Macaca fascicularis: one gene and its partners. Each later gene encodes a partner of the first gene's protein in a complex. Links are inferred from orthologs where the notes say so. Each region holds a gene or a part of one and is shown in the gene's direction. Other genes may lie near its edges. The genes, in order: S100B, CAPZA1 and CAPZA2.

Region 1 (10,669 bases):
ACTCATGGCATGTGCACACCTTCATCTAGGCTCATCTGCATCATCGTGGAGGGACAAAGGGACAAAATGGGGCAACGGGAAACCAACATGAACATGAAACTCTGGCTACTAATTTTGCCATGAGTAATCTCTGACCCACAAACCTCATGTCTTCTGCCAGCATCTATAATGGTCTACATTTTGGCTCATGAGCAGAATAAAATCTCAGAGCATTTACAGTTCTTGAAACAATCCTGTAGAGCACAGGTGAGCCAAGGCTGGGGGTTGGGTGCACTAAAGGTGTCAGGGTCCAGTTGTGGACGTGAGCCTGGACAGTGCAGCAGGAAACAACACCCTAGGGCACAGGCAAGCTGAGGCCGGTGGGTGGACATGCAGAAGGAGCTGGGTAGCTGAAGGTCTGGAGTGTGCAGTGGTCAGCTACAGGCCCAGCCCAGGCTGCAAGGTCACCCAGGGCTGCCGTCTCTGTACAAGTGACTGGAACAGAGCACCACCAGATATACACATGCACAAGCACCATGATGGGCTGTGAAGTAGGAGCGAGACAAAGCAAAACATGTCCCACTAGAAGCAGGAATATAAGCCCCTTCAGGGAGGTCCATCACGTGGCTCTTTTTCACAGCCTTCCTTGTCACCATTTTTCCAGTCCTGTTCCTTTGAAATTGCCAACCAATCAAACCATTAGCAACTGCTGATGAATTAATACTGATCCATACTTTCAGCCACTTCTCACTCCAAACATAGTGGGCAATCAAGTGTAAGTTCTGCCCTCTGAAAGGATTTCCCTTCACCACTGTCCTTCAAGATAATCCTTGATTGTGGTTGAAGTGCTGCAGCTGTCCAGTCCAGGGTGGTACCAACATATCATGCCCATCTGTAAACCAGTCGTGAGCTTTTTTCTTCCATAGTCAACTGGCTGTAAGGTACAACCCAGGAGGCCATAGACATGGATTGAGACAGTGGAGGCAATGTAACAGGAGTTGGTGTCAAAGAAGTCTGAGTCACTTACTCATGCCACATTTTGCACCTTCAGATTTGCCTCAGATCAGCTTCATACATCATTTCCATGTGATGCTACGTTGCTGTTACACCCACACCCAACTTTATGGCCAGGTAGATCAGATAGCACTTAGGCTGCGTGGTCTCCTGATGTCCCATGGTTATGGCCCAGTAGCAAGCCAGATGCTGATTCTCAAAATGAGATCAGTTAGCTGCCGAAGAGGACATAGACTTACTCCAAAATCCCAGAGTTCTGTGCTGCAATTCTCCTGTGGATGCTTGTCAGATGGTCCACACTGCATTTCAGTGTGCCACAGGCACTTCAAATATCACTGGATCTACCGAATCCTACGAGTGAAGTGGTAAAGCAGCTTCCATGACAGCCTAAACTTTCTCTGACCCCCATTTGAAACTTCCAGCCTCATAGGCTGAAAGTAGCACATGCAAATATAATATATGTCGTATCTAAAATCCCCAAAGCCCAAATATATATCGTGTTTCTTTTTTACAGGAGGCAGTGCAAAATATATCAACTTGTTTTTCACTTGGAGGGGATATTTCAACATACTCCACACCTCTGAACCTGCTAGAAACTTCACTGAGGTGGAGGGCCCCTACATTTTGTGGAGATTATCTCCCACCTTTGCTACTTCCTGTTTATCAGATTCAATAAGCATAATATTGTGAATATTAGTGGACCAGTGTAATGTTTTGTGAACTGACCAGATGACTAGATCTCTGGAGAAAATATTATTGCATAGAACAGAAGAACTGGCATGTCCTTCAGGCAACACTGTGAGTGTATACCGTTCACCCTGTCAGGTAAAGGTAAACTGCTTCTGGTGGTTCTTGCAAATTGGTTTGAGAAAAAAGCATTAGTAAGATCAGTAGCTGCATGCAAAGTGCCAGGGAATATGTTGATTTTCTCAGTAGAGATTTCTCATCTGGCACAGCGGTTGTAAGTGAAGTCACCAGCTGATTACATTTGCAATGGTCCACATTCTTCATAATCCATATTGTTGGAGAAGCAGGCGCCTAGGAGAGTCAGAGTAATGCCACTTTAAGTTCAGCTCCACCTTGAGACTAACAAGGCACATTTCTTGCAGTCAAAACCCACAGACCTAAGATGTTTATAGCTGAGGAAACAGCTGAACGATACCTCCAAGGACACAACGGAGATTGCAGACATCCCAGTACCCAAACAATGTACGCTTTCAAGATAACAAGAGTTATGTTTTAATGTATGCACACGCTAAAATCTTAAGGATAGTTTTCTTTGGATCAATAGAATAATAATTTTGCCATGCTGTCTGCTCGCCCGCATATAGTCACAGCTGAGTTGAATCTTTATAGACAAAACCTCTATATAAGAAAAACTTAAAGACAGTGAATTCCTCTGCTTGCTTTCTGAGAATGCCCTACTCTGTAATGGAATGTAAGAGCTTTCAATAAACTCTCTTCTCACTTCACTCTGCAACTCACCTTGAATTCCTTCCTGCGTGAGATCCAGGAACACCCTCTTTAGGTCTGGATCGAGACCCCTTTTTCTGGTAACAGTATGAGTTTTGCACAGGTCAAAGTGGCCAGTTAAATGAGTTTGAACGAAGTGTCACAGCGCCTGCTTATTTCAGCTCTTTAAGGGTGGCATTAATCTCCAAAGCTCTTCCAGGGATTCACTATTTCTGGATAAGAAGGGGAAGTTCTGAGACTTTCACCAAACTTCTCCTACCATCATGGTCCTCATCTCATACATAAGAGAGTGAGTGAGGGGATTTAGCTAGTGTATGTTTGTTTCAATTATACAACCAGGAACTGAAAAACTAACTATAGGGAGAATAGTGTACCAACTGGGCCCCCTGCGAGTCGGTCTCGAGTTAGAACCTCTATCAAGTGAAGACCCGACCATCACAAGTTCCTACTTTGACTGGTGAGCCACAGTGACATTTTTGGTTCCCAGGAATTCATGTCAAAGGAGGCAATCCCTGAGACATCTAGGTTATTTCCTTTTCATTAGTTGATGGCTGCAGGGCACGTCAGAACAGGTGTGGAGGAGGGTTTGTGGTATTCTTTCTCGCTAGCACAGATTCTTTCTCAAGTGGCCTTGGCTTTTCCCTTCAATCAAGATGCCCTAGGTCTGACCCAACTTAGGTCTGGAAACTTGGAGAGAGCCCATGATCTCCACTGTGGTGATTCAAGGTAGGTATTTTGGTGACCAGACCTAGAGGTCTTCCTGTTGTGTGGATTAAAGACCGCTCTAGCAACTGTCCATCTCTTCATTCTGAGGAACACCGTGAGCAATTGACCACTGCCAAAAATCTCTGTGGACCAAGGCGTTTTGATTACTGGTGTGTTCCTTCTGCTGTTTATGGCTGACATGCCCACCTTGTCTTAGCCTGCTACTCTGAAATATTATCATCTCACTGAAATCAGAGGTCTAGTCCAGCAATCCATATGGTCATATGTAGGCTATAGACCATGGAACTTTTCAGGTGTTCCACTCACTCAACAATGCATTTCGCATTACTCAGTGAAGGGTCTTCCTGTGGAATATAGCTGCAGGGGGTGGGTGAATGTGCGAGTCACAGATAAGATCAAAACTGAGGGGTCAGGACGAGTAAGCCAGGGTGATCTGGAAGTGTGAAGGTCAGGGAAAAACACGCAGAACAATCCTGCCAAGGTGACTATGGTCACCCCTTTCACAGAAAGGCTTAGTAATTTATCCAAAGTCAAACCACTGTTAAATGGTGGAGCCAAGATTCAGACCCAGAAATTGTAGGCGTCTGTGGGAAGCTGGTGAGGTTGTGTCCACGCGCTCCCGGGGAGCCTGGGCAGACAGTACCATCCTGGGGCCCCAGAGTGCTTGGAAGTCCCTCTCCTTCCTGTGGCAGATCCTCTCTCTCAGCCTGCTCCCAAGACCTGGGAACAGGGTGGACCCACTGCCCAGCACTTGCCATCCCAGGAAGCTGCAGTGTGCTGAGGGCAGGCCCGCCTGGGCCCTCCTGCTGAACGCAGTGTCCCAGGCACAGGTGTACGGTCATTGCATGAGTGGGTTTCAAACTGTTTTTAACCCCTGCAGGAGCAGGCTGGAGCGTTTTCTATGGCTACTGAAGGGTGAATCCAGAGTTCAGGCTGCCACTCTGGGGAAGTGGTCAGCACTTACCGGAATGGTCCCTCCAACATCTGAGCGAGGAAGGGGCACAGAGCACAGTTGTGCCTTCCTTGGGCCTGGGCAAGCTCTGTGCTTCACAGAGCAAGCCTGTGCGGATCCTTCAGCAGAGACCACAGCCAGGGTTGGTGAAGCTTAAGAGGAAGTGAGGGCCAACCAACCGGCTCAGGCCGTTCCTCACAGGAGCCTGGGGCAGGCTGACCCACGCAAGACCACAGCTCTCGGCCCTGTGCTATTTCCAGGGCACACTTATAGATCCTGAATGGTAAAGAACTTCCTAGATAAAGCAATGACAGCAAAACAGCCGTGTACGCAGATATCTCGTGGGAAACCCTTTCACGGCCACTTCGAAACTGGGTTGGGAGAAGGACCTGATGCTGGGTCAGGCATCGGTTGGGGACCATGGACACGTTTGTAGAGTTTGGGCCAATGCTTTTGTGTAATTTGTCAGAAGGAACACCTACTTCCTCACTCTTGTGAGGAAGAACCCACAAACTGGCCCCCGTGTTCAGAGGCTCAGGTCAACAAGTTGAGGGGACAGCTGGACTTCTCCTTCTTCAGGCTGGCTGGAGCCTTCAGCAAGGGGTACACCGTCCACACGCCTCTGTAAAACAGCATTCGCACAGGACATCTCTAAGGCATTGTCCAACTCTGACAGTCTGTGACCTTCTACCCTGGGATGGAGGGAAAGGCCTTGGGATACAATCCACACATCATGTTTTCCCCTAAAAGTACCACCCTTTTTAGTCCCTGCAGACACTGGGTTCAGCAGCTTCTCTGAGGCAGCCCCGTTGAGCCCAGGGCCGACCACAGACAAGCACTACCGTCCACAGAACCTCACGCCCGGTGGGGCCAGACGTGGAGGCTGGCAGAGGAGAGAAGCTCCAGGGGCCTCTCCATTAGAAACCAGCTTGCAGGCCACTTAATCTCCTACGCTCAGCCTGTACTTGCAAGCTGCTTGTTCTTGGCTGCACATTTGCTTTGTTTGAATCAATTAATCCAAGTCTCTCTCCTCTCCCTACCCCCAACCTTGCCTTTAGGGGAACATCAATATTCATGTAATAAATAAATCACACAAAAAGCTGACTCCCCACTTCCTGCCCTACAGGCCCTTTTTTCTTCCTCAGCCCATGTGCAATCCTGGCTCCCAGCAAGTCCCCGGGGCTGCTTGGTCAATGCAGCCCTGTGTGCAGGCCTGGCAGCCCTGCCACCCCCGCCCTCGGCCCCCATTGGCTGCCATGGCCTGCAGTGGGCTGCACCAGGGTTCATCCGTCCTCCCTGGGCAGACGGAATAAGAGGCTGCCTCTGCCCACTAGACCTGCCGCCCAGGACCCGCAGCAGACACGAGGCCCGCAGCAAGGAGACCAGGAAGGGGTGAGACAAGGAAGAGGTGAGAAAGAGCCAGGCCAAGAGGATGCTCAGGAAGAAATGGTTGTTTTCGTTTGGGTGGAAGGGAATGGAGGGGTAGAAACTAAATGGTAGCTTAAAAACCCCCTTTAGGACAATTGGCAGCACTTCAGAAGTGTCAATAGGATGATGTGTTTTAATCTCTACATTATTGCTTCTTTGTGGACACCTGACTGCATCAGCCCTAGGCAGCTAGAGGTATTTTTCATAAATCAGAGAAACCTCAGGTCTCGGCCCAGAAGTGATTGCTGACATTTTCCCAGTGGTGCTACAAATACTACCTCTCCTGTAACTACTTGAAGAGTAAAGATTTTGCTTCCCACTGCAGCTGGAAATGATGGAGAACCTAATGCTAGTTTAGTCCATATCCTAAATAAACCCCTTTTCTCCTTGTTACTTTTTCCACCGCCCTGGGTAAGTAACTCTTCAGTTTTCCAGTTTCCCTCAGTTTGAAGTGCCAGGGTGACAACAGCCCCAGGACGCCACTCAGAAATTACGTAACAGTTACAAATAAATTGAGTCAAAGAAATTGGGGTTTTGGTGGGTTTTAACTTTCTTCAGTCTCACAGTTTCTTAGGGAGGTTGAACCCCTAGAGGGATCCTCACACGCTAGGTAACGTGTCTTTCTAAGGAGTTAAAGTTCAAATGTTCTCTTGTTCTCAATATTAAAAGATTAATGTAGGACATTCACAGAATGTGAGAAAGAAACATATTTATTTCCATTTCTCTTAAAAGATAAACTATAAACCATCAACTATTTATTAAGTCAAAGGGAAAAATTTAACAAGAATTTTTTAATTGATTTGTAGCGTGGTTATGAAGAAAACCATATTTTCTAGTGGTTTCTATTAGTGTTCTAATATATGGAATACATGTTTTATGCCTTCCTTTGTAATAATCTCGTTAGTCATAGTTCATAGAAAAACAATTTAACCTCCTTTTCCCCAAATCATCATGGACTTTGAGGAGCATCAGAATGATGTAAAAGTGTCTTGTTTTGTTTTGTTCAAAAAAAATACACACACATATATCAATAATTGAAAACTTGAGTGCAAAGAATAAGAAAAGCATGAAATGTTAAAGATTTTAATCCATCTTAACTGTTCTATTTATGAATTACCAAATTTTTAGGGACTCAAGAGCAAAATAAAGTACACTGATTATTAATAGAATGCCTTTAGCAAAGATCTAGCCAGCACAAAAAAATCTTCAATCCTGTTTCCTTTGGAGCATCAGAAATAAATAAAATTTTTAACATCTAATTCCAAATTATTTTTAAGATGTAAGTCATATATTCAACATGGGAATGATTTTTCAACACTATTTATTAATTTATTTTTAATTATAACAGTGCAAATGTTCTTATTTGATGATTAGAACTCAAGGCCAAAAGCTGGTAAATTTCTCGGCCTGCCCATCTGTTTTGTGAGACAACTGACAAGGCATCCTTTGTAGAAGGCGCCTCATTCCCAGACTGATGAGATATTTCCTTGGTTTGCAGGCTGTGGCGTAAGGTACTTGCTGTGAGGGAGGTCGGAGGGATCTTACTTTGACAGCTGCAGAGAAACACCTATTCCTGCCCCGTCCCAGTCACTGCAGTGAATGAACCAGCCTTTCCCTGCACTGGAGGTAGAATGCAGGCTCAGCAGCTCAGCTTCCTGCCGGATTCTGTCCCTCCCTGCCACAGAACCACACGCATTTAATCAGTTAAACTTAGGATACATTTTTTTTCCTGGTAGATCAAATAACTTTCACTGTTATTCTTCAAAAAGATTGTGGCAATTCTACCATATTTATTTTTCCAGATGAATTTTACAGCTGTTTTTGTCATGTCACACATCCAAAAAAAATTCCATCATTTTTATTAAAAATGATTTAAATTTACATATGAATTTAAAGGAAAAACTTCCTACATTTTATGTTCCTCCGAATCTCTTGGAAGGACCTGCATTTTTCTTCCTAAACTTAGTCTTAGATCACATGCTATTTCTATATGAATAGAATATTTCGCACTGGATTTTCTATTTCTTTATTGATAGAATATAGGAATGCTCTTGATTTTTGTCTTATTTTGCTCCTAGTCACTGTCTCACTTTCAGATTGATTTTAACAGCTTGTAGTCGATGGTTTGCTCACCTGCACTCTACCACCTCATCTTGGAGCCTTACAAGAACAGAGAGGGACCGTGTGGGGAGGAAGCAGAAATTTAACCCGTGAATTCCTTTGCTGCTCTGCGTCTGTATTTTTGCTAAAGATTCCCTGTTGGACCAACCCAACCAGAAGCCAGAGGGCATGGGAATATATCCCTGTGGCCCACAGAGACAGAGAAGGCTCACATCTGTCTAAGAGGCAGGTGGAAGGATTGATAAAGGTACAAATTCCCAGAATGCCCCTCCAGGTCATGCCTGCTGTTCTGAGCTTGAAAAGAGTGCCAGGGCCAGTCCATCCCCCTTGTCTGGGTTGCGGTCTGTATTGATAACCTGTGAAATGTTTTATGATGAGGTATAGATGAGAAGGCATCTTTCCTTTGCGAGCCCCTAGGATGTCTGAGCTGGAGAAAGCCATGGTGGCCCTCATCGACGTTTTCCACCAATATTCTGGAAGGGAGGGAGACAAGCACAAGCTGAAGAAATCCGAACTGAAGGAGCTCATCAACAATGAGCTTTCCCATTTCTTAGAGGTGAGTCTTGCTTTTTACACTTGACACCTTCTCCATCTCCTCTTAAAAAGCCACCGGTACACTGGCTTTATCTTCTCAGCTGCACTGAAGGTGATTTCAGTTTCCTTCCAGGACTCCTGGGCTGCTTCTGCAAACTTGTTTGAGTAACGGAACCTTCAGTGTGGGACTGGCTCATATAGGCCCCTTGTTTTCATGTCCTTATCAACCATCTTGTGTACAATCGGTGCATCAAGGTCCCAAAGGCCAAAGCTTCCCAAATAATGCTGGACTCATTACTTACCATGGGCCAAAGTGAACATAAAAGGAAACTGTTAAAAATAAGCTTTGGGAAAGTTTTTAGGAAAAGGATGTATTTTGGCTTAGCTAGATGTTTAGTATTTACTATGGAGATAAGACATGCCAGACTTTCACTCAGTAAACACTGACTGAGCACTAATTAAGAACTGTGAGATATGCAGGCATGACAGTCATGGCTTCTGCTCTGGGGCACCCACCCTGGCACATGGATGAATGACCATGACTGGCTTAACTGAGGGCGTGACAGGGGTCTGTACACATCCTTGGAAGCCCTGGGGCTTTGCAGGAGGCTCCGTGGAGTAACATATGTTGGTGAGGAACTGTCTTTAGTTGGGGCCCCTACTTTTGGAAGCTGTATGAGGGTTCCTGGTGAGCCCTGTTCTTCAGGCAGTTCCTGCTGTGGCTTGTGGTGGAAGTATGTCCAGACCCTTGCATTAGGACTCATTTTCTTACCCACTCTCTCCGCTGTCCTTGGATCAGACCCACCTGTCTTTACTGCCCACCTCATGCCCTCATGGAAGTGAACTGTGATCCCCCTGGTACCTGATGCTCTCTTAGAACCAAGGCTGGCTTGAGGCATGCCTTGAGCCAGAGTGAAGCACTGGTGGTGTGCACGTGTGAGATGCAATGAAGGGCTTCCTGGGTCACCGATATGAGCAATCACAAAAGGGAGAAATGACCAGAAAATGAGCCAGTGCACTAGTGTCTCACCAAGTCCTGATTCCAGCGTAAATACTAGGGCAGGGCTCTGCTGCATGGGAATGGGGAGCTGCCCTCCTAAGCTGGCCAAGCCTCTCAGTGCAAGACAGCAAGCCCTGGGCTCCAGCAGCCCAGCAGTCCATGTTTTCAGGGCAGGGGGATGGGGGCTGGCTGGTTCTCCTGTCCGCACTTCCACCAAACACCGCACCACTGTGAATGGTTCAGAGTGGAGCAGACAGGCCTGCAAGCTTGCAGTGGGCATCCCCACGTCTGATTCCAGGACTGGTTTTCTCAGGCATTCAAGTCCACAGAGTGACAGCAGTCCCACTCACAGACGCAGTTTTCTAGTTCCACCAATCATGCCTTCTGACTTGAACTGAAAGTCCCAGGTTCTTCTGAACAAGGGCTGTTGTGAGGATGAAACGGGACAGTGCTTAAGTGCTTAACATATAGTGAAAGCTCAACTAATAGTAGCTATTATTAATTATTTTTATACATAGAAAAAGCTTAGCATGTGGGAATCTCAATTTGTAAATGATAAATAATTCATGGTAAGCATTTCAAGGCATCACGAACATTTGCTCCCTGGTTTTATCAAGGTAATTTCAGTTCAGAAGCAGATCTATAATGTAATTGAAGTTAGTGCCCTGCTCCTGCCCATCCACAGGTGCCTCCCCACCCCTACCCCCATGGAGTTACAATCTTCTGTATGTTTTGTTTATTTAGTTTTTCAGATAAGGTCTTGCTCAGTCACCCAGGCTGGAGTGCAATGGTGCAATCTTGGCTCACTGCAGCCTCAACCTCCCAGGCTCAAGCAATCCTCCCGCCTCAGCCTCCTGAGTAGCTGGGAATATGGGCATATGGACCACACCCAGATAATTGTTTTTTTTTTTCTTTGTAGAGATGGAGTCTCCCTGTGTTGCCCAGGCTGGTCTCAAACTTCCTGGGCTCAAGTGATCCTCCTGCCTCAGCTTCCCAAAGTGCTGGGATTACAGGTGTGAGCCACCACGTCCGGCCCCTGTGTGTCTTATAGCCAAGGTGGCTGTTATACATCACACTTGACTTCTTCAGGCCAAGCCTTCCTGTCCCGGGGAATTGTTACTCTGCTCTTCATCAGTGTTCAATACCCAAATATTTCCCACTACATCTGTAGCCCTGCACTGTGGTTGTTCCTCTGAGGCTTTGTACATCACTTAATAGCCACGCCATTCATTCAGCTCCAATGTCAGGCAGAACTGTCAGGAAAAAGTTTCATGACACCTAGAAAGCAATTCGAGTGGGAAGAAGAATACAGGGTTAACAAATCTAGGACGTTCCCAAGAGTTACTTCAGCAACAAAGACGACTTTCAAAACATTGCGTTCCACTGGAAGTCTTTAAGACAGGGACTTCCACACACAGAACCCATGAAAAGTTTAGGAGGGC
Region 2 (10,708 bases), on another chromosome or scaffold:
GCTTGCCCAAAATTATCAGCTAGTAAGTGGCAGAGTCAAGATTCAAATTTTATCTTCTGTTCCCAAACCAGTGCTTTTTCCACTACATCAGCTGTTTAATATTGGTAGTTTCTTTAAAACAAACAGACAAACAAAAAAACTACATTAAATAGAGACAGAGTCTTATTGTTGCCCAGGCTGGTCTCAAACTTCTGGCATTAAGGGATTCTCCCACTCCATCCGCCCAAAGTGTTGGGATTACAGGTGTAAACCACTGTGCCTGGCTTAAAGATAGTTTATTATCTTTACTTAGACTTTTGTATGCTATGGACTAAATATGCTAAAATATGTTTATGTTAAATTATGAGGCTTATATTAACATGTAGTTTTAATCCTGAATTCCTCAATAGTTTCTATTTTTTAAGCCAAGAGAAAAATCTCGTTCTTGTATGGCATTTCACTTTAACAAAATGGTCTGTATTAGTCCCTATTTAAAAAAACAGATCCAATACAAATGCTATTTCTACTACAGCTGGAGAGCACCACCTAGAGATAAAAAAAAAAGAACAGGCTGGGCATGGTGGTTCATGCCTGGAACCTTAGCACTTTGGGAGGCCAAGGAGAGTGGATCGTTTGTGCCCAGGGGTCTGAGACCACCATGAACAACACAGTGAGACTCCATCTCTACAAAAAATAAATAAAAATTTAAAGACAATAGAAAAATCTATTGGCTATGCATGGCATAAAACTTCTTAAGATTTTTATCTGCAGCAGTATTGTTGCAAAGTGTACACTAGGAAACATGACATCCTAGGGATGTTAATGTGAATTATAAAAAATATTTTAATTTTCTTAAATTAAAAATATCTTCTTCAAGGAAAAGTTGAATTAAAGCTGAACAGTTTTGTTGTTTTTGCTTTTGTTTTTTGAAACACAGTCTTGTTCTGTCACCCAGGTTAAAGTGCAGCGGCACCATCTTGGCTCACTGTAACCTCTCCCTCCAGGGTTCAAGTGATCCTCCCACCTTGGCCTCCCCAGTAGCTGGGACTATAGGTGCATGCTACACATGGCTAATTTTTGTATTTTTTTGATTTTGCCATGTTTCCCAGGCTGGTCTTGAACTCCATCAGCCCACCTCGGTCTCCCAAAGTGCTAGAATTATAGGCATGAACCCCTATGTCAGGTCAAACAGGTTTCTTAACTGTGAGAATTCTCAGAATAATAATAGCCAAAATTCATTAAGTGTACACTCTGAACCAGCTACCATGTTATAAACTTACAACATTATCTGATTTAGTCTTCATAATCCTATAAAGTTCATGCTGTTATTAACCTCAGTTAACAGATGAGGAAATGGGCTTGAAAAACCTATAGGTTGAATTTATGACACATAATTTTAGTCTTCCCAGTGTTGCCAATTTAAAATACTGTAGTCAGACATGGTGGCACATGCATGTAATCCCAGCTAGTAGGGAGGCTGGGATGGGAGGACGGCTTGAGCCCAGGAGTTAAGGCCACAGTGTGTTATAATGGTGCCTATGAATAGTGACTGCACTCTGGCCTGGGCAATGTAGTGAGACTCCATCTCAATTTTTTTTTTAATGGGCAAATTTTATATAAAAACTGTATATCCAGGTTCTATTTATTTATTTATTCATTCATTTTTGAGACAGGGTTTCTCTCTGTCATCCAGGTTGGAGTGCAGTGGCAAGATCTTGGTTCACTGCAACCTCCACTTCCCGAGTTCAAGAGATTCTTATGCCTCAGCCTCCCAAGTAGCTGGGACTACAGGCACGCACCACGATACTGTTACTTTTTATATTTTAGTAGATGGAGTTTCACCATGTTGGCCAGGCTGTTCATGAACTCCTGGCCTCAAGTGATCTGCCTGCTTCAGGCTTCCAAAGTGCTGGGATTATAGGCATGAGCCACCACGCCCGGTCTATCTGGGTTCTCTTTAAATCATTTGAAAAATTGAAAAACCTGGTAATACTAGTTGCAAGTCTATATGGCAACAATTAGTTTTAGCCTCTTTAATTTTTTTATTTTTCATTTTTTTTGAGACGGAGTTTCACTTTTGTTGCCCAGGCTGGAGTGCAATGGTGCAATCTTGGCTCAATGCAACCTCCGTCTCCTGGGTTCAAGCGATCCTCCTGCCTCAGCCTCCTGAGTAGCTGGGATTACAGGCATGCGCCACCACCCTGGCTAATTTTTTGCATTTTTAGTAGAGACGGGGTTTCTCCATGTTGGTTGGGCTGGTCTCGAACTCCCGACCTCAGGTGATCCACCCGCCTTGGCCTCCCGAAGTGCTGGGATTACGGGCTTGAGCCACCGCGCCCGGCCTTAGCCTCTTTTAGAAGGGGCATGCACTGTCCAGGCTACCCAGTCCTCAAAGAAATAAGAATTTAATTATTAAACTCTATCCATTTCACTCATTTTTGTTACCAACTTGGGCTCTGCAGGCATTTAATTTCCAGTACACCCCAAGCCCTCCCTGACTACAGTTTACAATAAGCCTTTAATATGTAAATAAATACTGTCAATCTCTAAAAGTAGATTGGGAGATGCAGTGTTCCCCAAACTTGTTTGAATAGGTAATCTTTTCAAATGCTGAATACATTTTAGAAATGCTGATCCATAGGTAATAATAATTTATAAATATTATAACCATATAAAGGATCTTTAGGCCAGGGTGGTGCCTGATGCCTGTAATCCCAGCACTTTCAGAGGCCAAGTCAGGCGGATCACCTGAGGTCAGGAGTTCGAGACCAGCCTGACCAATGTGGTGAAACACTGTCTCTACTAAAAATACAAAAATTATCTGAGCATGGTAGCCGGCACCTGTAATCCCAGCTACTCGGGAGGCTGAGACAGGAGAATTAGTTGAACCTGGGAGGTGGAGGTTGCATGAGCCAAGATCATGCCACCGTACTCTAGCCTGGGCGACGGAGCAAGACTCCGTCTCAAAAAAGGAAAAAAAAAAAAAAATCTTTAGATAAATACCAAAACATGAAGGAAGGAAATGGAAACTACTTACAAATATTAGTCCTGATATCAATGAAGATGTCCCTGTAAGTGCCACATAGAATTTGGGTGTCAATGAATTTAAAAATACAGTCACTGTCAAAAGAACAAGAATCAAAGTTTTAAAAAATGCAAATTTAATGTACTTAGGTTACAAATATGCGAGTATCTTTATGAGTGATGGGACTTAAGTCGTATTAATATCTAGTGTGAAATTCACTTGAAAAAGTTTTAATTTGTATACATAATATACATAATGGCTTATAACTATTTGCAACAAATCAAAATGAGGTAATTCAGCTTGCTTTAAAGAATAAAACTAAAGCACTTATAAGTCATAATTTAGACAAGAACGTTTGCAAGTCTGTAAGAATAAGAAGATAAACAAACATGCTTTTACAAAGGAGGTTCAAAACGACTCCATAATTATTTTGGTAGGATACAAAACCACTGTCTCAAATTAGAGGGAAGGAAACAGTGTATGTATTTGGCATATCAGCTAGAGAGGCAAAATGGCTCAAAGAGAAAAGCAACAAACAGAAATCTCCCTGACTTACTGAAATCCTGGAGCAGATTGTTCACTTCAAATAATTATCTCATAAGTACGGTGGGTTTTAGAAAGAAATAAAAATCTGGCCAGGTAGGATGGCTCACTCCCATAATCTTATAGTTTTGGGAAGCTAAGGCAGGAGGATCGCTGGTAGCCAGGAGTTCAAGACCAGCCTAGGCAAATAAAATAGACCCAGTCTCTATGCAAAATTTAAAACTCAGCTGGTCATGGTGGTGCACGCCTGTAGTTCCAGCTACTTGGAAGGCTGAGGCCAGAAGATCGCTTGAGCAAAAGAGTTCAAGGCTGCAGTGATCTTGCCACTGCACTCCAGCGTGGGTGACAGAGGGAGACTCTGTCTCACAAAAAATAAAAAAGAAAAAGTAAAAAAGCAAAATCTACAGTAATCAACTATTCTCATCTAAATGTATATGGTTAACATGTAGAAAAATAAATGACAAGTCGGCCGGGCGTGGTGGCTCACGCCTGTAATCCCACCACATTGGGAGGCCGAGGCAGGCGGATCACGAGGTCAGGAGATGGAGACCATTCTGGCTAACACGGTGAAACCCCATCTCTACTAAAAACACACACACACACAAATCAGCCAGGCGAGGTGGCGGCCGCCTGTAATCCCAGCTACTTGAGAGGCTGAGGCAGGAGAATGGCATGAACCCGGGAAGCGGACCTTGCAGTGAGCCGAGATCGCACCACTGCACTCCAGTCTGGGCGACAGAGCGAGACTCCGTCTCAAAAATAAATAAATAAATAAATAAATGACAAGTCAATCAGTAACACTGTGCATAGAAACCGCCGTTAAGCACTTCATTCACCTGTTACAGAGATGCCAAGTTAGCTCTTCAGTTTAGCTTATTTTAGTGTGCTAGTTATATTTGAACTTGATACCTTATCCTCCAAAAAAGCCAAAATATTTCCGAACTTTACCTCACAGTCTTTCATGTTATCTCTGAACAGGAAAGGGGACATTCGCTACCTTCTGCTACAGAAAAATCAACCACTGTACTGAATCATATAACAGAAATACTTCTTTCTTGTTCTGAGGTTGCTGCTCAGAGCTTGAGTGAAATATAATCACATGGTAAGGGGATCTGGGCCCTAAACACTTTATCCCGTCTACAACTAAAGAATAGTACAGTATATGAGAATCCATCAGGATCATCACTTCTTACATGTGTTAGTATTTTCAGCACAGACTACATAGCAAGTGTTCTACAGATGTCGAAAGAACTAGCAAACCGACAGTTGTTTGTGGCGCTCTCTCACTTCCTGTACTACATTACTCAAGATAAGCCTAAAAGAACAGACAAAAATATCACGACAACTATTTCTTAACAGAACTATTTTAAAACAAGAGAATCGTCAATTAAAATCATGCCATTTTCTTTCTCTGAAATCTTTAAATTACAGATGTGCTCATCTTTGTTGCCTGGATATGAGTTCTCTCAGCTGGGCGGCGAGACACTCAAAGCAGTGACTTTATGGGATCCTACCAGAGGCGGGGGAGCCAATATAAATTACGTATCCTAATCTGAGAATGCACCCTTCTGTCCTAATACCTGAAGCTTATAGCTTGTCAGGTGGCTTTTCCACGGAAAAACGAGGACATAAGAGAAAGGACGGACCTTAAGAGTTCTAGGGAGGAGCCGGTAGAGGCAGCAGGCTTGACAATCAATTGCAAGGTTGCAGTCCAAAAGAAAAAGAACCCACTTGATCGCTCATCATCGACTCCTCAGAGGCCCTCTAGGACTACCGAGAATCTCTTGCCCTTTGGCTCTTGCCCCCGACATCTCTCCTGGCCCCCCGCCCTGCCCCAGGAGGTCTGGTCCTCTCACCCGCTGCCAAATTCTCACACAGCCTCAAAGGGATCCTCAGAGCGTAAAGCAGCCCCAGCCCCGCCACTAACCACACCGAGACCCCAGTCCCCGCCAGCCCGGCTCGCAGTCGCTCCCTCCAGCCCAACGTCGGGTTTAGGCCGGGGACAGGTGCAGGAGACGCTCTAGCAGCCGCGGCTTCACCCGAGCCGCCACCGTCCGCCATCTTGCCGCTATCGCAGGAGCCAGGAGCTGGGAGGGGAGAAGGACAGGAAACCGGGAGTCGGGAATCCTGGGATAGTGGCGGACCTGAAGTTGGCCTCTCTGAAGGCTGAGTCCTGGGGAACCCGGACCGAGAAGATTTCGAAGGTGGAGGAGCGTGTCTCAAGATTGAGGATACCTATTCCTTTGTGGGGCAGGGAAGGGGCGGACAGCAGCGCCTGTTCTGGAGGAATTGGACTAAGATGTGACCCCAAAGTGAAGTATTACCGCTTCCAAACGAAATGAGGGTCACCTTTCACACCCCCGCCCCCCGGGGTTGGAAAAGCCACCGATCGTTCCAGCGGCCGAGCAGCTCTTAGAGCTTTGGATTCGGCTGTCGTGGAGATAACGGGTACCAGAAAAACTGCAAGAGCGACTTGGTCGGATGGAGGCCAGGAGCCAAGAATAATCGAAACACGCTGCCAGCACCCATTAGATGGATGGGAAATGAGTGTAACTCATTGGGAAAGATATTAGACTTTAAATCACCGAAGGCAAAGCCTACTTCCTGGGGCGCGGGCGCGGGCGCTGGCACTAGTAGACGTCACTCCCGCGCATAACTGACATGGCGCCCTCTTGGTCGGCGTTTCCGGGCGGGTCCTTCCGACGGCCCCCGCGGTGATTCCATCACTCGGCTTTCTTCCCGGCCTGCCTAGCGCCCACAGCCGGGCTGGGCCAGAACAGCCCAAGATGGCCGACTTCGATGATCGTGTGTCGGATGAGGAGAAGGTAAGGGGTCCGCCTCTCTCTCTTACCTCCTCCCCCGACAGGGAACTGGGGCTCGGCCCGGCTGCGTTGGGAGCCTCGCAGTGTCCCCAGGAAAAAGAAGCTTCTTTGTCAATGCTGACATACGCTCTCCGCAGTCGGGACGCTTCCCTCTTACGGGGCTTTCCTCTGCCTCACGGTGGCCCCAGTTCCTCGTTCCTCGACTCTCCTTTTCTCTCAGGCCTGAGGCACAGCCCAGGGGCCTCCCTGCGAGGGAACAGACGTTTCCTTTATTAGATCGTGACTGTGGACTTTTTTCCTGTAATTTTGAGAGTGGGTGGTGGTTATGTTGCTACATATCAAAAAGCAGTTATTTTACCGCCTTTAGCAGTTGGTGCTAACCCCCATCCCCCCATTTGTAGATATAATTGGGGTTAGTTTAGGGCGAGTCACTTCCTGGTCAGGATGGCCTCTTCCTTTTTGCTCCTCCTTCCTCAGGAAGTGATTTTGCTGTCACGACTCCTCGACAAGGAGAGGTCCCAAATGTTGTCCACCTCACTACACATGCAGTACTTTTCTCAAGTACTGTCGCCTGTCTGATTCGCTATAATAAATCTGTGAGCCTCAGGGCATGTGCTTCACAATTTGAGCACTAGTCTTTCCCTGTAGACACACCCTTTTAACGATAATTTTTGAAAATTTTGTTTCTTGTTAACAAATGTAGAATAACTGATGGATTTTCTTAACCTCAAGAAAGATTTTCTGTAACAGATAATAAACTGCATGTTAACACGTTCAAGACTTGACAAAGCGTCCTGCCTTCTCTGGTGCTCCACTGTGGAGTCTTTGATTAGCTGAATTTGTCAGTGTGCAGTTTGTATACTTATTTCTTGAAAAGCGTTTTAAATACAAGAGCACATTCTAAGGTGGAATAACTTTTCTTCTGACATTTGCACAGTTTCATAACAGTTTTGTCAGGCTTTTCAGTAAGTACATGATTTTAGGGCACGTGGAACTTAGAATGACCTCACGAGACAACTTACTTACAAGAATTATGACATTTGTCTCCTGCTGTGGCTATTGGAAAATGTGTCCCCTTGAGTGCTCTGTAAATCTACCAGGGTGTTTTTTTAAATAAGAAGTTGGGATGGGGAGGGGACTGTTATGATCCATAAGTCCTCTGCACCGAATAACTTGATACATCATACCTACATATGGCATGCCATTTTGAAATGCTTAACAAGCCATTGAACAACAGCATTAGATTTTCTCTTATTTGGAAACTGATCTTCATACATAAGATTTAGGACAAAAACAAAGACATATATGAGCTTATGCTGGAAATCAATCTATAATAAATTGTTCTAAGGCAAATAGTTACTATTCAAATAAAATTAAGCAAAAATCCTGTTATAATACAAATCCTGTTACAACTAAACAAATTTTTTTTTTTTTTTTTTGAAACGGAGTCTCGCTGGGCTCACTGCAACTTCCGCCTCCCGAGTTCAAATGATTCTCCTGCCTCAGCTTCCCAAGTAGCTGGGATTACAGGCACCCGCCAACACGTCAAGCTAATTTTTGTATTTCTTGTAGAGACTGAATTTCGTCTTGTTGCCCAGGCAGGTCTCAAACTCTTGGGCTCAAGTCCATCCGCCTCCGCCACTTAAGTGCTGGGTTTACAGGCGTAAGCCACCGCGCCCGGTCAAAATTCCACAAATAATTTAAATAATAAACTTTTAAGTTTATTGTGCCTACATGATACACATTGACCAGTGTTGTTGGATTTTTGTCTTCGATACCAGGTTAGAATGCCTTTAATTAAACTTGGGAAAGTATATTTTTTAAAATGCCAATTAAGATGTCTTTAAATACTGGCAGTGTTTTAATAACATTAACGTGTTGGGTTTTTTTTGTTTTGTTTTGTTTTGAGTTGGAGTTTCGCTCTGTCACCCCGGGTGATGTGCAGTGGTGCGATCGCTGCAACCTCTGCCTCTCTGGTTCCAGCGATTCTCCTGCCTCAGCCTCTCGAGTAGCTAGGATTACAGGCGCCTGTCACCACGCCTGGCTAATTTTTTTGTATTGTTAGTAGAGACAGGGTTTCACTATGTTGGCCAGGCTGGTCTCCAACTCCTGACCTCGTGATCTGCCCGCCTTGGCTTCCCAAAGTGCTGGGATAACAGGCGTGAGCCACTGCGCCCGGCCAGTCTTGGTTTTTTTAATAGCAGATCTGTGACCAGTTTCGTCTTCTAGCATAGTTTTTTTTGTTGCCAAATATATTTCAATATTGCTTTTTATCTTGGTTACATTTTCTAAAGGCAGTAAACCTTTAGAAAATTTGGTGATAATGAATGGACTCTAATTTCCTTATAAATATGTATGTAAAAGCTAGTAAAATCATCTGTTCTCATAACTGCTGAAGTTTTTTTAATCACTTTGTAAAAAGGAAGTTGGGTTTTGTTACCTGAAATGGTCATGATGAGCTATCTAAATAAAACAGGAAGTTGAAAGTGTAGTAACTTTTAGAAATAAACGTTTTAGTTGTAGCTTTGAGTTCACAGTTTCTGAGAATGAACCTGAGCTCTTTAGTTACATGCTTAGCAAGACAAAGATACCATAATTAGGAAGCCTGAAATATGAGATGAATTACTTCTTTGGGTTCTTTTCATTGTCTGTTTTTTTTATTTCATTCAACATTTGTAAAACATAAAAGCAAAGATAATTTTCTGGAAAAAAGTGTGATTAGCATATTTTTTCCCTTTAGCCTAACTAGAAGAATATTTGTGTACAATTTCAAAAGTATGGTAATTGAGAAGTTATGCTTTCAGTTTAGACTAATGCTTTCAGTAATAAGGTGACGTTTTCAGTATTAAGAAAAACTACATGCTTTCAGTTTAGACAACGGTAGTGGTTTTAAGGCATTTTTGAGAATCAAGTTTATCAGAATTATTTAGTAGAGCTGTAGAAAATGCTGTAAAGAGATGAAATATGAAGGCTCTGTTAGAGCATATGAAAAATATTTATACTTTTTTTTTAAACAGAGTCTCGCACTGTCTCCCAGCAGGTTGGAGTGCAATGGCACGATCTCGGCTCACTGCAACCTCCACCTCCCGGGTTCAAACGATTCTGCTGCCTCAGCCTCCCAAGTAGCTGGGATTACAGGCACCTGCTACCACACCCAGCTAATTTTTTGTATTTTTAGTAGAAACAGGGTTTCAGTATGTTGGCCAGGCTGGTCTCAAACTCCTGACCTCATTATCCGCCCTCCTCGGCCTCCCAAAGTGCTGAGATTACAGGCGTGAGCCACTGTACCCACCAAATATTTATACTTTTAAACTGGATCCTTGATTATGTATTACCTCCATAATTTGCTAGTTACCATTGTAGGATAAAGCAAGCCCTAAAGATTGTTTGGTGTGGCTGCTTTCTAACGAGTCATCAATTAATATTAAAACTGTCATTCTTCCATCTTCACTTTTCAGTTAGCTTTGCTGAGAGGTATTCATATAATCTGTTAAGAAATCCTAGGACAGGCTGGGCTCGGTGGCTCACGCCTGTAATCCCAACACTCTGGGAGGCCAAGGTGGGCGCATCACCTAAGATCGGGAGTTCGAGACCAGCCTGACCAACATGGAGAAACCCCGTCTTTACTAAAAATACAAAAATTAGCTGGGCACAGTCGCGCATGCCTGTAATCCCAGCTACTCGGGAGGCTGAGGCAGGAGAATTGCTGGAACCTGGGAAGCGGAGGTTGCGGTGAGCCGAGATGGCGCTATTGCACTCCAACCTGAGCAACAAGAGTGAAACTCCGTCTCAAAAAAAGAAAAGAAAAAGAAATCCTAGGACAGGAACATAAAGCCTAATAAGCAAGTGTAAACTCACATGTCCAGTCTTTTGTTAGTAGTATTGATTTATCATAATTTCTTCCAGAACACTTGGCTGTTTTATTATGACTAGGCTTAATGCTAAACAAAGTAGTGTAAATTTGTCAGAAAATTCAGATCCCAGGTTTTTCTGATTGTGTAGCCATGCTTTTTTCACTATACTGTTCTTTTCCATATAGCTATGAATGAAAAACTAGAGTAGAGGCTTCCATCTAATGGATTATAAACGAGGTAGTATGGGTCGGGGGTGATGGCTCACGTTTGTAATCCCAAACTTTGGGAGGCCAAGGCTGTCGGATCATCTGAGGTCAGGAGTTCGAGACCAGCCTGACCAACATGGTGAAACCCCGTCTCTACTAAAAATACAAAATTAGCCGGGCATGGTGGCACGCCAGCTACTCAGGAGGCTGAGGCAGGAGAATAGCTTGAACCCCGGAGGCGGAGGTTGCAGTGAGCCGAGATCATGCCATTGCATTCTA
Region 3 (10,719 bases), about 160 Mb from region 1:
AAGTTAACTAGAGCTAGAACAAAGATCAGAATCCAGGATTTAGTGATTATAAAATCTTTGTACCGGTCAGGCGTGGTAGCTCACGCCTGTAATCCCAGCACTTTGGAAGGCTGAGGCTGGTGGATCACGAGGTCAGGAGATCGAGACCATCCTGGCCAACATGGTGAAACCCCGTCTCTACTAAAAATACAACAATTAGCCGGGTGTGGTGGTGCATGCCTATCATCCCAGCTACTCGGGAGGCTGAGGCAGTAGAATCATTTGAACCCGGGAGGCAGAGATTGCAGTGAGCAGAGATGGTGCCACTGCACTCCAGCCTGGCAACAGAGTGAGGCGAGACTCCATCTCAAAAAAAAAAAAAAAAAGAAAAGAAAAAGAAAAAGAAAAAGAAGGTCTTCAATAATTCCTGAGTAACTCTAGAATGATCTATGTCAGGCTTCTCCAGGGGCACGACTTGTGTGTACCTTTTCAAAACTAGCTGAGGAAATGGACCACAGGTAGGATACACTCAACTATCAATAACTTAAGCAATTATTTGTTTAGAAAGACAATTACTTTTAAAATATATGTGATTTTTAACACTTTTCCAGAGCCATAAAGGACTTTACTTGAGACCAGTTGTGTTAATTAACCATGACATTAACAAACAACCAAATGTTAGTTGTCTAACATTGATAGTTTTTCTCAGAAGTGAGGTAAGTCAAACTTTTAAGCTGCAGATGTTATTTTTCTGGTGCAGAGATGGTATTATAGAAGTCTATATCTGGTACAATAATTTAATGTTCACACAGTAATACTATTAATCATCTTATTTTACATTATTTGATATGGATATGTACATGAAAGAACATGAGTCTGACCATCAGGATACTTGGATTTTAAAATAATATTAACTAGATATGCAATTTTTATTGTGATGTCATTTATTTATCTAAGGCTCAACTCATCTGTAAAGAGAGAGATTTGTAGTAGATGCACCCTAAAATTGTTTTTCTATGAAATTGGGTAACCTCTGGTCTTGACAAGTTTAAAATGTAGTTGAGTAATTTCAGTATATCCATAGGAAAATAGATGTAAAAGTATACAATTAACTTAAAAACAAACACTGTAAAAGGAAGAAAAATTCTGGTGATGTTAATTGGAAAGACCAAGATCAGACCACGAATAAGTAGAAGAGAGGTAAGTTTGGCAAGGCGCGGTGTCTCACGCCTGTAATCCCAGGGGTTCGAGACCAGCCTGGTCAACATGGTGAAACCCCGTCTTTACTAAAAATACAAGCATTAGCTGGGCATGGTGGCAGGCGCCTGTAGTCCCAGCTACTCGGGAGGCTGAGGCTGGAGAATAGCTTGAACCCAGGAGGCAGAGGTTACAGTGAGCTGAAATCATGCCACTGCACTCCAGCCTGGGGGACAGAGCAAGACTCTGTCTGTCTCAAAAAAAAAAAAAAAAGAAAGAAAGAAAGAAAAGAAGAAGAGAGCTAAGTTTGGAAATTAATTAAGAATAGTTAGAAATTCTTAGTAGGTAAAATCATGGATAGGATAAATATTTTGTTTATTTTCTCCTCCTCATAAAATAACTGATTATCCAAGAATACCAGTACATTTCTCCTTGCAGTCATATAATAATCATTTCATATTTTACCTTTTTGTGTAACAACTTAAACTCTTTCTAGAATACAGAGGCTATGTAAATTTTAGAATTGATTTTAATTGTGCCAAAAGGGTGGTATTGGGAGATTACTGAAAAGATTATCAGAAATTATACATAATTGTGGGTTGTGTCACTATGGCAAACCACATACAGTGATACATGTATTGTATCACTAAGGTTACAATTATAAACACACTCTGACTCAAATTATTGCAAAACATTACCATATTTGGGTGAGGTTTCTAGAGGAAGAGAGCAACCAATTAATCAAGCAATATTTGCTGAGTATCTACTGTATACAAAATACTAATATAGGTGTTGCCAAGTAAACAAGAGAAAAGAACAGAAAAAAACAAAACCAGAAGTACTGCTGATGCAGCACGGGGTGGTGAATTGAATTTACAGGATGGGATAGTAATTGCCTTCATTAAGTTTTATTTGGTGGAGAGTGCCCAGACTTAAGAGGAAGAAAGAAAAATCTTGCAGTGGAAAGAACATGAAATATAAAATAAGATGCCTAGGTTCCAATCCCAGCTTGGTCACTTAGGAGCTGTGCAATCTCCTTCCTTCCTTCCTTCTTTCCTTCCTTCCTTCCTTCCTTCCTTCCTTCCTTCCTTCCTTCTTTCTTTCCTTTCTCTCTCTCTCTTCTCTCTCTCTCTCTCTCTCTCTCTCTCTCTCTCTCTCTCTCTCTCTCTCCCCCCTCCCCCGCTCTGGAGTTTTGCTCTTGTTGCCCAGGCAACCTCCACCTCCTGGGTTCAAGTAATTCTCTTGCCTCAGCCTCCCAAGTAGCTGGGATTACAGGTGTGAGCCACCACTCCCAGGTAATTTTTGTGTTTTTAGTAGAGACAGGGTTTCGTCATGTTGGCCAGGCTGGTCTCAAACTCCTGACCTCAGGTGATCTGCACACCTCAGCCTCCCAAAGTGCTGGGATCTATGCAATCTTAAATCATTTAGCCTCATTTTTTTCTTCTGTAAAATGGGTATAATGGTAGTGATAAGCACCTTTCTTCATGAGGTTGCGGTGAGAAATCAATGAAGCAATGATTTGTAATCTGTAAGAGTAAATATGTTAATTTTCGTCCATTGTTACCCTTGGTTAAACTATGTGGTTTATCCTCTTTATCTTCTTCACAACGTTTATCATCGAAAGGACACCTGCTTTTTTCTGCCTGTGTCAGCATGCTTCTCCTTCCTGTTCTCTCCCCAAATGAACCATCAGTTTTTCAATAGCATAGCTGCTGCTTGCTGTCCATTCACAAAAAACAATGATTTGCACATTACGAACACCCAGTAAATTACTTAATAATAGGGTCGTGCATCTGAACATTTATTTCATACTCTCACATTTCATTTATGTGCAGCTGTCAGATTCATCTTGCTGCACGTTTCTGATCATGTCATGTCACTGTTCAAAAGTTCTCAACAGTTCCTCACAGAATCTGAACGCCTGTCTTAAACCCTAAGGCCTTACCACTCAAAACGTGGTCTCCAGATCAGGAACACTGGCATCAGCTGGGAGCCTGTTATTCCACAGGCTGTATTCTGGAGAAAACAGATTCTCCAGCCTCATGCCAGATCTATTGAATTAGCAACTTCATTTTCACAAGATTCCCAATTGATTCATATATATGCAGCTTTGATTACATGTTTAATCTCTCATAAACTTCAAGCTTCAAAAGCAGGGTTGCTAGATTTAGCAAATAAAAGTAAAGGATGTCCAGTAAAATTTGAAAACAATGAGTAATTTTTAAGTATGTCTCCAACGCTTCATGGGACATACTTTTCAAAAGATTGCTTATCTGCAATTCACTTTTGATTAAGTGTCCTATATTTAATATGGCAACCCTATTCAGGAGGGTAGGATCCATGTCTAACATAACTTTGTATTCCCCTGGAATAGTACAGTGCCTTCCCCAACTGTTTTTGTTTTGTTTTGTTTTGTTTTGTTTTTTGAGACAGAGTCTCGCTCTGTCACCCAGGCTAGAGTACAGTGGCGCGACCTTGGCTCACTGACACCTCCACCTCCCAGGTTGCAATGACTTCTGCAACTCTCCTGCCTCAGCCTCCCCAGTAGCTGGTATTACAGGCATGCGCCACCACTCCAGGCTAATTTTTGTATTTTAGTAGAGATGGGGTTTCTCCATGTTGGCCAATCTGGTCACGAACTCCTGACCTCACATGATCTGCTGCCGAGACCTCCCAAAGTGCTGGGATTACCGGCGTGAGTCACCACGCCCGGCCCCAACTGTTCAATATATGTTTGTTTAATGAGTACAAAAATGAGCTTCTTGAGAACAGAAGTTTCTCTTTTTATTTCAATAGTTTTGGAGTACAGGTGGATTTTTGGTTACATGGGTAAGTCCTTCAGTGGTAATTTCTGAGATTTTAGTGCACCCATCACCTGAGCAGTGTACCCTGTACCCAATATGTAGTAATTTATCCCCTCCCCAGTCCCCAAAGTCCATTTTATCATTCTTATGCCTTTGCACACTAACAGCTTAGCTCCCACTTATAAGTGAGAACATAAAATATTTGGTTTCCCATTCCTGAGTTACTTCACTTAGAATAATGGCCTCCAGCTCCTTCCAAGTTGCTGCAAAAGGCATTATTTCGTTCCTTTTTATGGCTGAGTAGTATTCCATGATGTATATACCCACATTTGCTCTATCCACTCATTGGTTGATGGACACTTAGGTTGGTTCCATTTCTCTGTAATTGCGAATTGTGGTGCTATGAACAGGCGTGTCTAGCTTGTTTTTTTCTCCCTCAACACTATAGCCCCAGAGACTAACACAGTGCCCCGCACCCCGTTAAAGGACCAGAAAATATTTGTTGGATGAATAAAGGAATATATAAAGAGCAATCTTTCAATTATGGAGCGGGTCGTGTGTGTGTATTTTAATGAAAGCCGACTATTTAATTTTTTGTTTGTTTGTTTGTTTTTTGTTTTTTGTTTTTTTTTTGAGACAGAGTCTCGCTCTGCCGCCCAGGCTAGAGTGCAGTGGCGTGATCTTGGCTCACTGCAAGCTCCGCCTCCCGGGTTCACGCCATTCTCCTGCCTCAGCCTCCCGAGTAGCTGGGACTACAGGCGCCCGCCACCTCGCCCGGCTAGTTTTTTTGTATTTTTTAGTAGAGACGGGGTTTCACCGTGTCAGCCAGGATGGTCTCGATCTCCTGACCTCGTGATCCGCCCGTCTCGGCCTCCCAAAGTGCTGGGATTACAGGCTTGAGCCACCGCGCCCGGCTATTTAATATTTTTTTAAAAACAATGTTTAAAAAGCTTCTATTTGTCCACCTTTTCAGATTTTAGCTGGCAGAGTTCAAGACTTGATAGAAACATAACGAAGGGCTCAGAATGTACTCATCGCAGACTGAGCCCATATGGTCACTGTGGGGAGAGAACGTTACACTCACGATGCTAGCAAGCCTGCTGCAGGCGGCCCCGGGAGACAACGTCCCCCGCCCGGCCACCAGGCACCCGCGCACGCGCACAGCCGCGCTCAGTCCCCGAGGGCCGGGTCGAGGGAGGCGGGGCTCTCGGGGCGCGTGCGCGGCGACCTGAGCGGCGGGCCCCTCCCTTAGCGGGGGCGCGCGGCGCTGAGGACCGCACGGAAGCGGGGAAGTCAGGTGGCCGCTGCCGCCGCCGCCGCCGCGGTTTGTCGCCAGAAGGAAGATGGCGGATCTGGAGGAGCAGTTGTCTGATGAAGAGAAGGTAAGAGTCGTGGGGGTGGCGGCGCCGGCCGTCGGGAGCCGGCTCAGCCCGGGCGGGTGGGCCCAGAGTCTGGTCGCGGGGGATGGGCATTGGCTCGCAGCTGGCGGTGCCCTCGTCTGCCCTTCTTCCCCCATCCTTGCTGCGCCGAGTGCCTGCCCCTGTCCGTCACCCGAGGCCCCGCGCGGGGGCAGGTCTTTGCCAGGCCTGCTCGCTCCGCTCCTTGTAGGGTGTGTACTCCGAAAATAGGAAGCGGGAGCCGGGCGACGGCGGGCGGGGGCGCGGGCGCGGGGGAGGGCGGCGGCTGCCCGGGACTCTCTCCTGCTATCCGGCCGCGGAGCCTGCGCCGGGGGCCGGGGACCGGGGACGCAAAGGGGTCTGCGTCCGTGCCTGGGAGCGGCCCAAGGGCAGTGCCCAGCGCGGCGGCCTGGCCTGTGAGTGTAGCGGCGGGTGAGGGGGAAGGGAAAAATCGCTTAGGAAGCAGACCTTCACTTCTCCCTTCTACTTCCCCCTCCCCAAAACAAAACGCTTCCTTTTCTGATTCTCTACGGTTTATCCCTTTTTTTTCCCTTTCCCTATGGAGGCCTCTCTCTCTCCCTCTCTCTTTCGTTTCATGGCTCTAGCAGTAAGCTTTGCAGCTCCCATGTTCCCCGGGAGGCAGCGGAGTTGCTCACAAAAAGACGACCCCCTCCCCATAGTTGTTTTCTGCCCACGTTGTCAGCATTCTCCCCGGGGGTCGATTTGGTGTCACGTCACCTTCCTGCTAGGACTTCTTCCGAGAGGGGAAATTGTTCTACTCCTTTTACTGTATGTCAGATGCTGTGACAGCAGTGGAACCAGATGAACTACTTAAGTTCTCAGATATTTAAAAGGAGCAATGGAATAATTCATTGAACTGCTGCTCTCTTAATTCGCCCCTTTCGTTTGGCTTTCGTGAACGTCCCATTCCTGAGGGTGGTGGGATAGGGGAGAACCCTGCTAATTTTGACTGTTTCTCGGAAAGGACACTGACGTTTCTCAAACTTAGAAGTAACTGACAGAACATACGAGTGAGTTAGTTGTAGGGTTGGAAATGTCCACTCTTCGTTAAAGAGTGCTCCATTTTTAAATTTCAAAGCAGTACAGCCAATGGAGGAAAATACAGGTACATTTAGGTACGTTGTGGTGTTTAAGAAATCCTCGTGTAAGTCTAAGAATATTTTCATTTGGGACCCTCTGCTCTAGGTGTTTTTATATGCTGTGTTCTTGCACCGAAATAGAAGGTTCTGTCCCATTCCCAATGTGAATGGTCAGAAGTCAGCCTCATCTTTATTTTCGGAAATCTGTCTTTCTCTTGTGTTGTTTGGTGAAAGTGATAATACAACAACAAAATGGGGGCGAGCAACGTCTCCATAACCCACAGACCCAGTAGGCAGATCCCTGTATCCACAAAAGTTGCTATACAGTATTGAATGTATAATCTTGGTAAATAACCCTAAGTAGGTGACTGAAAATGTACAGGAGTGCACAAACGCATATTTAAAATTGAGTCGTGCTAAAAAGCTTAAAAAGAGATTGTCGTGTTTTTATTCTACCATTCTTAAGTGGTGATTAGTAGCTCAAGTGGCTAGAAATCTAGCTGAAGAGAGAATACTCAGTGTGGGAGTTAATAAGACCTGCCATGTGTTGTAAAGGCCTAAAATTAAAAAGTTTTTTAAAAATGAGATAACAAGATGCCTTATTATCCGGCACTCTCAGGGCACTAAGCTTCATAAAGAGGAATGAGGAGGTTCTATGTCTTAAAGCCTGCGCCGCCTAGTAGCAAAATGTTTTATGGTTAAATGAATGAAAATTCTAATTTGATTTTTGGTGTTTTGTAAGAATATTATGTAGATATTTTACATATAAATTTCATCACTATATTTACTAATTTAAAAACTGAGAAAACTTTTAGGTTAAATTCAAGTAACCAGTTAAGTGAAATTTTAACGTTCTTGTCAATTGAGATATCTAAAGGTTGTTTTCATTTTGGGGCAGGAGGATGTGTCCAGTATGGGATCAGAAAACAGAGAGGACTTAAAAGTGATATTTTGATATTACTCTTTCTACGCCTTATTGGTAATTTTCAAAAATAAGCTGTCAAGCTGGGCATGGTGGTTTGCACCTGTAATGCCAGCTACTCTGGATGCCAAGGTATGGAGGATTGCTTGAGCCCAGGAGTTGTAGACCAGCCTGGGCAACAAAGCGAGACCTCATCTCTAAAAAAAAAATACTAAGTTTTGAATACTTTTAAGTTTTTGAGATTTCCATTCTAGATTGCAAATCTGAGGAAGGGAAGCTGTTAAGATGTATCTAGTACTGTACTTTATATATGCTTGGCTCAGTTAGATCCATTCATTACTTAATTTGTTGTTGTAAGAGGTAGTTGTTCTATTTCCATTTCACAGATGAGTAGAGTGAGGTTCAAAAGCTTTAAGTAGTTCACCCAAGGACAGTCAAGATGAAGGTCTTGTTACATTATGCTCTCTTCTTTTTTTTTTTTGAGACAGAGTCCCCCTCTGTTGCCCAGCCTGGAGTGCAGTGGTGCAATCTCGGCTCACTGCAACCTGTGCCTCCTGGGCTCAAGCGATTCTCCTGACTCAGCCTGCTGAGTAGCTGGGATTACAGGCACGTGCTACCATGCCCAGCTAATTTTTGTATTTTTAGTAGAGGCGGGGTTTCACTATGTTGTCCAGGCTGGTCTTGAACTCCTGACCTCAGGTGATCCACCTCCCTCGGCCTCCCAAAGTGCTGGGATTACAGGTGTGAGCCACCGTGCCCAGCCGACATTATGCTTTCTTAAACAAAATTGATAAAAACCTCTTCTGGTTTTGTCTCTTCATTTTTAATTTGTTGACAGCTTATTTTGAAAAAGGAGAAACGTTGGTTCTTCCTTTTTTCTTTTTTAGACAGGGTCTCACTCTGTCACCCAGGCTAGAGTGCAGTGGTGATCATGCCTCACTGCAACCTCAACTTCCTGGGCTCAAGCAGTCCTCTCACCTCAGTCTCCCCAAGTAGCTGGGAGTACACGCAGGCGTGCCACCACACCCAGCTAATTTAAAAATTTTTTTTATAGAGACAAGGTCTCACGATGTTGTCCAGGCTGATCTCAAACTCCGGCTCAAGCAATCCTCCCACTTGGGCCTCCTAAAGTGCTGGCATTACAGGCATGAGCCATGATTCCTGGCCCTTTTTTAAAAAGTAATACCAAACAAGTAGTGTTAAGTTCTAAATTTTTGTCTTGATCATTTTAGAATAAAGCTTATTATTAACACATTTAAATGTGTTATGCTACTGGTAGGAAGCATTTTAGAAATTAATCTAGAATAATAGTTTTGCTTTTTAAAGTCATACACAATTGCTTTTTAAGGCTATCACTATGAAATTTAATAACCTTTTCTCCTTTGGCCACTGGGTGAATGGGAAATACATTTAGCTGAAGACCACAATGAAGTTCTTTAAAGCTCTTAACTTGTATAGTGTGTCCCATAGACTTTTTTACATAGTTACAGAAACCCTAGACCCAAAACAGTTCATTGTCATTCCTGGGTCAGCTGTATTGTACAGTAAAGCATTTTTGTGAATTTGAAATTATATGAAATAGTTGTGTAAGACTCAATTGAAAAGACCCATTCCGAAACCTCTCTCTGGATGAGAGATTCAAGTTCCAGAAGGAATACACTTAGTTACTGATGGGAAAGGATCTTTTTTCTTCCTGTAACCCTTTACTTCAGTGATTACAATAATCTATCCCATAGCTTCAACTTTTACGTCTTTGCAGATGTCTCCCAGGTACATAGCTGTAGCACTAACTTCTTTCCAGATTACTGGTCAGATTTTTATCTGCTAGTCATGTTCACTGGAGATGGTTAATTAGGTACGTACAAATGGAGCTTGCCTAGAAGTAAATGTATGAACTCCCTTCTTCTTTCCTCTCACACAAAGGGGGATATAATCTATCTCTCTTGATAATTTTTCTCTTTATATCTTTATTCCCATTATTCCAGTCATCCTGGTTTTTAATTTCAGCTTTATTCTAACTTTTTTTGGCCCCGTACCTTACAATCAACTGGTAAAAGTTGTCACTTCCATCATCAAAATGTATTATACAAATAACTTATTTCTTGCTTGAAAAGTCAATTCATTTATATTAATACTTGGTTTATTATCTCTTCATTGACCTGATTATTAAATAATGTTTGGTAACAAAATTTCACTGTACAAACAGAATGCAACTTGATTATACTTGTTCTGTGCCAACAGTTAAGAAGTAAAGTCAAGAAAAATTTCTCATATCCATTCTTTCCCTTCTGTTGTATTTGCCACTGTTAGGCTTTTACTATAAAGTTTCTAGACTAATTCCTCCTGTTTCCTGTATCTAAGCCATGCTTTATTGTGTCATTTATCTACTCTCAAAATTTTAGTGCCTGGATCCTCCATTGCCTTTACAAGGAAGTCCAGCTCTTAAAAAATGGTATTCATGGCCTTGTATTCCATTTTAACCGAAATAGTTCTGACATTTTCAATATATATTGTTACTTAATCGTGCTGTGAATTTAGAGAGACTTCAGAGAACTGCATACTAGTTCATTTCTCTCTCTCTCTCTCTTTTTTTTTTTTTTTTTTTTTTGAGACAGATTCTCATTCTGTCACCCAGGCTGGAGTGCAGTGGCACAATCTCAGCTCACTGCAACCTCCGTCTCCCAGGCCCAAGCAATTCTCCTGTCCTCCTGTCTTAGCCTCCTGAGTAGCTGGGACTACAGGCACATGCCTGTGTGCCTGGCTAATTTTTGTGTTTTTAGTAGAGATGGGGTTTCACCATGTTGCCCAGGCTGGTCTGGAACTCCTGAGCTCAGGTGATCTGCCTGCCTTGGCCTCCTAAAGTGCTGGGATTACAGGCGTAGGCATGAGCCACCACTCCCAGCCACTGGTCCATTTCCAGCACCTCAGATAAATTATTTAATCTTAACTTCAGTTTGCTCTGAAATGTTAGAATGTGGTAGTAAGTTACCTTCTTCATTAAGTTGTTGTAAGTCTATTGGGCTTGGCATGTAGTAAGCACACAATAAATTGTAGTTATTTTTCTCTGCTCATGACTTTTCATCTACTTTGAGTATTGGCACTGCTCCCAGGTCTGTCCCCTTTTTTGAAACATGAAAATCTCAGTCATCCCTTAAGATTTAGCTTAGATTACACAGCTTTTTTAGCCTCTCATCTGAACTCTACAAGAGATCGTTAGTATTAAATACAATTTTGCATAATAGTTATTTACTTACTGTTTTTTCCCTTTTCCATTGGAATTCCTAAGTGCAGAATAATGTCATCTTTAGCATCTCTCATTA

The links.
Region 2: the proteins of S100B (region 1) and CAPZA1 are in contact, whole or in part, in an NMR structure (PDB 1MQ1), measured with the Homo sapiens proteins. The link is inferred for Macaca fascicularis from reciprocal best matches to the Homo sapiens genes S100B and CAPZA1. Residues at the interface, in NP_006263.1 of Homo sapiens: Glu46, Glu47, Lys49, Val53, Lys56, Val57, Thr60, Phe77, Met80, Val81, Ala84, Cys85, Glu87; in NP_006126.1 of Homo sapiens: Thr265, Arg266, Ile269, Asp270, Trp271, Asn272, Lys273, Ile274, Leu275.
Region 3: the proteins of S100B (region 1) and CAPZA2 are in contact, whole or in part, in a crystal structure (PDB 3RM1), measured with the Bos taurus proteins. The link is inferred for Macaca fascicularis from reciprocal best matches to the Homo sapiens genes S100B and CAPZA2. Residues at the interface, in NP_001029727.1 of Bos taurus: Ile37, His43, Phe44, Leu45, Glu46, Ile48, Lys56, Val57, Thr60, Phe77, Met80, Ile81, Ala84, Cys85, Phe88; in NP_001013016.1 of Bos taurus: Thr267, Lys268, Ile269, Trp271, Ile274, Leu275.

The regions. Positions count from the first base shown.
Region 1 is NC_088377.1:517,893-528,561, forward strand, and holds the start of S100B (protein S100-B), read left to right. Parts: upstream 1-5,482; 5' UTR 5,483-5,552; intron 5,553-8,103; exon of another isoform or gene 8,104-8,110; 5' UTR 8,111-8,111; coding exon 8,112-8,249; intron 8,250-10,669. UniProt on the Homo sapiens protein: Small zinc- and- and calcium-binding protein that is highly expressed in astrocytes and constitutes one of the most abundant soluble proteins in brain.
Region 2 is NC_088375.1:121,754,508-121,765,215, reverse strand, and holds the start of CAPZA1 (F-actin-capping protein subunit alpha-1), read left to right. Parts: upstream 1-5,660; 5' UTR 5,661-6,148; coding exon of another isoform or gene 6,149-6,149; 5' UTR 6,150-6,333; coding exon 6,334-6,372; intron 6,373-6,398; exon of another isoform or gene 6,399-6,762; intron 6,763-10,708. Other genes in the region: ST7L (suppressor of tumorigenicity 7 protein-like), read right to left, coding at 3,017-3,099, 5,404-5,608. UniProt on the Homo sapiens protein: F-actin-capping proteins bind in a Ca(2+)-independent manner to the fast growing ends of actin filaments (barbed end) thereby blocking the exchange of subunits at these ends.
Region 3 is NC_088377.1:158,305,345-158,316,063, forward strand, and holds the start of CAPZA2 (F-actin-capping protein subunit alpha-2), read left to right. Parts: upstream 1-5,233; 5' UTR 5,234-5,323; coding exon 5,324-5,362; intron 5,363-10,719. UniProt on the Homo sapiens protein: F-actin-capping proteins bind in a Ca(2+)-independent manner to the fast growing ends of actin filaments (barbed end) thereby blocking the exchange of subunits at these ends.